2 linked regions of the Ovis aries genome follow. The protein of the gene in region 1 purifies or fractionates together with the protein of each later gene. This does not show direct contact. Links are inferred from orthologs where the notes say so. Each region holds a gene or a part of one and is shown in the gene's direction. Other genes may lie near its edges.

Evidence for each region.
Region 2: the proteins of FOSL2 (region 1) and cyclic AMP-dependent transcription factor ATF-7 purify together in Homo sapiens (affinity purification with mass spectrometry; 3 studies listed by BioGRID and IntAct, counting the BioPlex papers as one, with this or other methods). This does not show direct contact. The link is inferred for Ovis aries from reciprocal best matches to the Homo sapiens genes FOSL2 and ATF7.

What each region holds. Positions count from the first base shown.
Region 1 is NC_056056.1:35,358,421-35,362,232, forward strand, and holds part of FOSL2 (fos-related antigen 2), read left to right. Parts: intron 1-2,333; coding exon 2,334-2,441; intron 2,442-3,812.
Region 2 is NC_056056.1:132,984,538-132,988,349, forward strand, and holds part of cyclic AMP-dependent transcription factor ATF-7, read left to right. Parts: intron 1-492; coding exon 493-645; intron 646-3,641; coding exon 3,642-3,812. UniProt on the Homo sapiens protein: Stress-responsive chromatin regulator that plays a role in various biological processes including innate immunological memory, adipocyte differentiation or telomerase regulation.

The sequences.
Region 1 (3,812 bases):
CTGAGGCCAGCAGTGGTAGGGAAGGGAGGGTGTGTGTGGCTTGTGGGTGGGTACGTGGTGGTGTGACACACTCATGCTGTAACCATATTGTCACTGCCCCTGAACACTTCCTATGCCAAGCGCTCCCACAAGTTGCCCTGTACCTCACCAGACACTTCTTAGAAGAGAGAAACTTCTAAGGTACTGGGGAGGCCAGAATCTGTCCAGGGGGGATGGAAGCAGAAGTGGATCAGGACCAGCTCTCTGTCTTGTCTGCCCTTTGTCAGTGAGGGAGCGGGGTGCTAGCTGGGCCTCAAGGGGAGCCCTGGTAGCCTTTTGATGCTGAGCCCTGAACCTGGGGCTGCAACAGGGCCATCAGGCTCTCTTGGTCCCTCTCGGGCTCAGGCTGATATGGATTTTGGAGCGGCAGGTATTCAGGGCCTTGGCCAAGTGGCCTTTTGTGACCTCAGCCTGTGATCCTCTGTGATCCCACAGAGAATAGGGTGCCCCCATCTGTGTTCTCTGGGTGTCTGGTTGATTTGCTGCTCAGTGAGTGCAGCAAGGGTATCAGAGAGGAGACCTCTGGACTATGTCGTCTTCTTTCTAGCACTTTGTGGTTTAGAGAGGACTCTCACACTGCGTCTCATCTGATCCCTGCAGAAGCTTTGTGGGAGGCGGGGCAGGTCCTATTAACCCCACTTTCCAAATGAGGATCTGAGGCTCGGAGGGTCAGTAATCTGTCTGGGTCCACCCAGAAGAGCCACATCTTCATCTGACTCTGAGCCACCCGACACCTCTCCGGAGAGAGACCATGGAGCCATCAGCTTTCCCGGGGAGGTGGGGCAGGGGCTTGAGGAGGGAAGTGGAGCCAGGATCCAGTGTGGGCTCGAAGACCAGGCCTTTGTAAGAGGGTTGAAGACTAACAGGAATGTAATGTTACCAGCTGGATGGGCTCAGGTCAGTGCGCCCCACGTGGAGGCTGCTGCAAGGACAGATGGTGCTAGGGAGGGACACAGTGATGCTATGCCCTGCTCTGCAGGCAGCGTCCTGGGGACTCAGCCCGGGGAGTGGCTCCCTCACTTGCAGGCTGGCTGGAGGTCCAGACAGCATCCCTCAGTGGGGGCGGCTTCTCTCTCAGCCCCTCCAAAAATGGCTTTGGCCTTTTCCCCACATGTCTCTTGAGGGGAGGACTTGGGCCTTACTGCCCCCAGAATCTTCTAAGCCCCCAGTACATCACTTGGCACCTAGATGGTGTGCTGTCCCAGGTGATCCCTGAAGGAGGGGGTCTTTCCTTTTGAATTCCTTCCTGCCTTGGCCCACGGCCATCTACTCACATCACCTCTGGAAGGGCTCTATGTAAACGGAGTGTCATCCCTGTTGGTGGGGCAGAGTTCTTGCCCTCTGGCCTGAGTTGCAGGCCCCTAACCAGCTTCCTGGTGAGGAGCTAGGTCATAAGCTCTGCAGGCGGATTTTTGTTCATTTGGTTTGCTGACAAATCTCTAACCCCTCACACCATGCCTGGTATGTTGAAGGGCTGGTTGGTTGAATGAGTAGATGTGGTGGACAGCAGGGTTCTAACCTGCTCCAGGGCTCCTCCTCCTTTTTGCCCATCCTGCTCAATCCAGCACTGTGCCAGGCACACTGGTGAGTCCTCTGGGTTGAACTGCCAGCAGCTAGCACTCGAGGGCTGGCAGAGGGACTTGGAGTGGGGTGGCCCTCCCTCCCGCCCTCTGGCAAGAGAACATGCCTCCCCCCGCAGCCCCGGGTGGTTCTTACTCTGGGCCCAGCTACGTAATCAAGTGGGGATAATAAGGCTTGCAGAGCAGGCAGAGTGTTGGGGAGGAGTAATTAGGCCGAGTTGGGAGGAAGCTGCGTAAGTGGGTGGGGCCAGGCCTGGCACGGGGGACTCTGGGGAACGGGCATGGGGACTCTGGGGAACGGCCCCTACTCATTCCCTCGGGTCTTGGCACTGAGTCAGGGCTGACATGACACATGCTGCCGCCATGCCTGGGCTGGTGAGTCTCCGACCCGTGGCTGCCCTGCTCTCCCTTCAAACATGCGACATCCCCTGCTGGGGGCTGGGGTTTAGTTCGGAGTCCTGCTCTCCCTTCAAACATGCGACATCCCCTGCTGGGGGCTGGGGTTTAGTTCGGAGTGCTCCTCCTTACCCCCAGGCACCCAACCTGGGCTGAGGTACATGTTCTGGGGCCCCTGAACCACGTTCCTCTTGCCTTCCTCCTTCCCTGCCCGGTCCCAGAAGGGCTTCTTCCCCTACTTACAATGCGGTTAAAAGCGGAAAATCTTGGTGAGCCACGCACCTGAGCCTAACCGTGATCCTTGGCCCTGACCTCTAGCTGTCCCCTGAAGAGGAGGAGAAGCGTCGAATTCGGAGGGAGAGGAACAAGCTGGCTGCAGCCAAGTGCCGGAACCGCCGCCGGGAGCTGACGGAGAAGCTGCAGGCGGTGAGGAGCCCTGCGTGGGGTGGGCGCACTCCTGGGTGGGCTGGAGCTGGGACCCCAGGGCTCCCGGCCCTCTCCCCTCCCTCCCTCACCCCTAGTGACTGACAGGAGAGTTAGTGTGGGCAAAAGCATTCCTTCTTCTGAGCACATGGGTCGGTCCTGCCCTGATTTGAAGGCGGGAGGTTGGGGGGGCAGGTTGGGGAGAAGGGAGCTGGCCTTTATCGTCCAGCCTGGACCCAGAGAGAACTGGATGAGCTTCTTGGGCCTGGCACCCTGTCCACCTCAGCACCCAAAGGATCCTGTGCTGAGACCTGCTGGGGCTCCTGGGCGAGAGATGGCAGAGGGTGTCGCCATTGCCAGCCAGCAGCCAGGCAGGCCCAGGCCTGCCCCCTCCAGGGTTCCTCTTCCCAGGTTCCAGCCACCCCCATGCCTGCCTGCCTGCCGCCGGCAGGAGTGGGCCCAGCCTGGCTTCAGCTGTCTGGTTCTCTGGGCTTCTCCACCTCTGCAGGGTTTTGGCGCTCCCTGGGGCTCATGGGTATGGATCATAGGCAGCTGAGTTGTGCTATCTTGGGGTTTTCTCATATCCTCCGTGGGCGGGAGGGTTCCCCGCCTCTGCTCTGAGCCTGAAGCTGTCACCTCATTGGTACCTCATTCTGCCCTATGAGTCATTCTCCCCCGCTGGCTAATTGCCCCCACCTGGGGGCTCTCAGCCCCGCCCTTCCCGCCCCAAACCTTGACCTGACCGACATCACGTAACTCCCTCCAGAGTCCAGCCCTCCAGGAGGGGCCATGTGGAGGAAACCCAGAGCCAGGACTGACTCTTCCTGGGTGGAATGTTTTCCAAGTGAGGAGATGAGGTGGACTGTGTCAGTGGTCATTGCACTGAGCAGCCAGGTTGGAGCTCTGGAAATCGAAATGGCCTTGCAAATCCTATTATTTTATTTAATCCTCCCAGCTACCATTCTCCTGCTTCCACTTCCCTGTGTCCATCCCGGAGCCCTTGTTCATGGGCCTTAAATGTGCACTGGGTGAATTCTGGGATGCCCGTAGTAGTGGCCTGTGGAGGTGTTAGAGGCGGGAGGAGGAGTGGGAGCTCTCCGATGCCAGGTGGGGCAGATCCGTTAGTGATCCGCACTCCCTGGGAGACACCCTGGAGAGCCCTCCCCACCACTAACCTTTCAGGGAGCCATATCCCCCTGGGTCTACCCCCAGGTGCTTCTGCCACCAGCCCCAGAATAGCCTGCCCCCCGAGGCCCGTAGGTGTTCCTCCCCTCTCTTCCCTTGAAGCCTCACACCCTACACCCCCGCCTCCCCATGACCCAGCCACCCAGGCCTCTGAGCCACATCCTGCACAGGAAGCCTCTCAGAAGCTCA
Region 2 (3,812 bases), about 98 Mb from region 1:
GTTGCGGGGTCTGGAGAAGAATAGACCCTGATTCATGACTCTTATCTCCTCTCTGCCACCTTTAGAGCCTGGTACACAGGCAATGGCAGTGAAAAGAAGCAGCACAGATTGTTTGGATGGAACTCTTGCTGTTTCAGTTCCAGGGTGACAGATGGAGGGTGGATGAGTGGGCAGGAGAGCTGGCCAAGAGGTGAATAACTGCATAACCAGCCCCTGGCCAGGTTCCAGGGTAGAGCTTTCATCTGGACTCTATCGCTTCAACAACCCCCACCCTCCAACTGTGCCCAGGATGATAGTGAGGGAACAGAGTAGGTATTTTAGGGGTCATGTGCGCTCTTTCTCTCTATGTCATTTTCTTTTAATCCCTTTGTTAAGGGAAAATCAGTGTGGGAATTTTGTCTGTAAGGCCAGTAATAAAATCTAAGCCCACTTTTCTCACTGTTAATAAAATCTCACCCTTGACAAGCTATTTTTTCTTATCTTTTACCACAGAGACTAAAAGCTACCCTAACCCACCAGGTCTCCTCAATCAATGGTGGTTGTGGAATGGTGGTGGGGACTGCCAGCACCATGGTGACAGCCCGTCCAGAGCAAAGCCAGATCCTCATCCAGCACCCTGACGCCCCATCCCCTGCCCAGCCACAGGTCAGCAGACCCTTGGATGGCGGCACCAGCTTGTCGCTATTACTCTTTGTCATGTCTGTTTTTTCAAGGAGCAGGGAAATGAAGGAGGAATGGATTTCAGCCTTCTGGGCTTCAACTTGTACTTTGTTTCTTGTTGACAGTGTGACAGTAGCAAAATGCACTCTGTTTTATCCATCCTTTTGTTAGACAAAGTGCAAGCAGACTGGGTAATGCAGAACTGCCACAGAGGAGGTCTCAGTTTCTGTTTTCTACTTTTTTATTATTTCTACATGTGAGTGCTCTATCTGCAGTGCCCTCTAAAATGTGACAGAACCTCATTTCAAGCTACTTTATACAACAAAGTCTCTAGTCTCTCCTGTCTTAACCCCCACCAACCCCCAAAAAACTTAATTGATTATACAAAAATCAGATACTAACAATATATTAATAAAATATGATGTCACAGCATTAAGATGGCTCAGTAAACAAACACATACCCTGAAAAACACTTTTTCCTTATCAATTTAATCTCTTTTTATCAGGAGAAATTAAAGTCTTAAAAAAGCCAGAGAGATCTACTTTAGAAGCCCAATTCTTTTGTTTCAAGGAGACCTCAGTTTTACTAAGTTTCGTTGGAAACCAAGTAAGCCTTTTTTTTTTGTCTGTACTGGTTAGGTGACAACAACCTGATATCAGTTTGTAGAGTTACATCTTTGGCCCATCCCCTTTTCCTGATGTCATCACCTGCTTCATCAGTTACCACCACATGTCCTAACATTTAATGACCATATGCTGCCTTAAAGCTTGGCCAACAACGAAAGCTTTCATTTGAGTTTTCTTGTTAGAAGCTAAGCCTGCCCACCTTCCTGTAACCCCTTCTGATGCCAGTCCCTTCTAAAAATGGTAAAGCAGCAGCCCCCTTGCCCAAACTGTGCTGCTTCCCCTTGAGGAAATGACATGACTTCATTTTTAGTTACCACTAATTCCTTTTCTCCTTATTCTTCCCAAGTTTCTCTTGGTCTGTTCTCTTACCTCCGTTCCCTGCATGTATTATTAAGTTGCCTATAAGAGAATAGGAATCCATCGTTTGCTTTTCCCCATTCTCCTCCTCAATCACCAGTCTTTACGTGTGCACCAGTGAGCTCGGGACAAAGAGCAAGTTGAAAATCACAAGAGAATCTGTGTAAACTTCCCTTAGTACAGTGAGAAGCAGCAACCCCAAGGCCTGTAGCTCATTAAAATGAGTTTGAAATTTCTTCTCCGCTTTTTTTCTTTTGGGGGAGAGACTAATAATCTGAATAATTAAAATTATCTCTTCATTATCTATATTACTGGAGACTATGATTCAGTAGGGCCTGAAGTAGAATAAGATTCTGTTTTCTTATGAGTTTATGTTTATCCTCATGCAACTGATTTGAGCTCTGGCATTTGGAAACTACCAGTATAGATGTTCTCTAATAGCAACAGATTCAGGAAGAATTCATTTTTGGCATTGTTTTACATTACATAGTTTCTTTTATACAGATGGCTGACCTTTCTATATTTTAATTTTGGCCATTATTATAAGGTTGGTCTCTTTTCTTTGAATACATACCAGCTAACAGAAAAGGAAGATGATTCAAAAGTGCTTTAGAAACAAGAGACATCAGCCTTAAGTTTAAAAACAAAAGATAAGGGCTTTCCTATTGGTCCGATAGTTAAGAATACACCTTGAAATGCAAGGGACACCAGTTTGATCCCTGGTCTGGGAAGATCCCACATGCCATGGGTCAGCGGAGCTCGTGCACCACAACCACCGAAGCCCGAGTACCCTAGAACCCGTGCTCCACGAGCGAAGCCACCATAATGAGAAGCCCTCACAAAGCAACTGGAGAATAGACCCCACTTACCACAACTAGAGAAAGCCCAAGCACAGCAACAACGACCCAGCACAGCCAAAAATAAATAAATATTTTTTTTAAAAAAAGATGGTCTCGAGGACTTCCCTGGTGGTCCAGTGGTTAAGACTTCACCTTCCTATGGAAGGGGTGCAGGTTTGATCCCTGGTCTGGAAGCTAAGTTCCACATGCCTCGAGACCAAAGAAACATTTTTTAAAAAAGCTAAATTGTAATAAGTTCAATAAGAACCTTAAAAAATTAAAAAAAGATGGTCTTAAATCACCAATTTGTAAAGGGATTTGAAAATATTTTTCTCTTTAAAAACAAACAGAACAAACAAAGCAGGAAGCAGGGCCATTGTTGAGGATGACTAATAACTGATTACAAATAAAAAGAATATACTAGGGGTTCCCTGGTGGCCTAATGGTTAGGAGTCCAGGCTTTCACTGCCATGGCCCAGGTTTAGGAAATGGCAACACATTCCAGTGTTCTTGCCTGGAGAATCCCAGAGACAGAGGAGCCTGGTGGGCTGCCATCTATGGGGTCGAGCGGAGTTGGACACAACTGACGCGACTTAGCAGCAGCAGCAGCAGCAGCACGGAACTGAGATCCCTCAAGCCTCGTGGTACAGCAAAAAAAAAAAAATGCTAATTCATATATTTCCATGATAGCTCGTATCTCATTAATGGTAAATTCTCTTCTCCTTTTCTGAAACTTACAGCATGCAGTTGTTTGTCTATTTTGCTTGGCCAAATCAGTAATTCTCCAATTTTTCATTCCACAGTCTCCCTGAAAGTTCCCCTGACACTTCTGATTATAATTTCCCTGCCCACCATATTTACTGTTAAGAAACAAAAAATGATCCTAGTTTCATTTTTGTCTGTCTGTCTCAGAAATAATCAGAGTTTCCAACTGAACTGTAGTTTGTCTAAGTATGGAACTGAGAAGACTGAAAGGAAACAGGAGGCAGAATGAGGAACTACTGCAGAAGAGAAGCTAAGGGACATAGCGAGGAGACTTGCTGTGGTGACAGAGGCTGGTAGATCCTTTAACCAGATCTTTGCCAGATCTTACATCAGGTTTAATTTGGAAAGGATTGACATTCCCTTCAAGTAACTCCTCTTCCTTCTGGGCAACAGGTCTCGCCAGCCCAACCCACTCCTAGCACTGGAGGCCGACGTCGGCGCACAGTTGATGAAGACCCAGATGAGCGGCGACAGCGCTTTCTGGAGCGCAACCGGGCTGCAGCCTCCCGCTGCCGTCAAAAGCGGAAGCTGTGGGTGTCCTCCCTAGAGAAGAAGGCTGAGGAA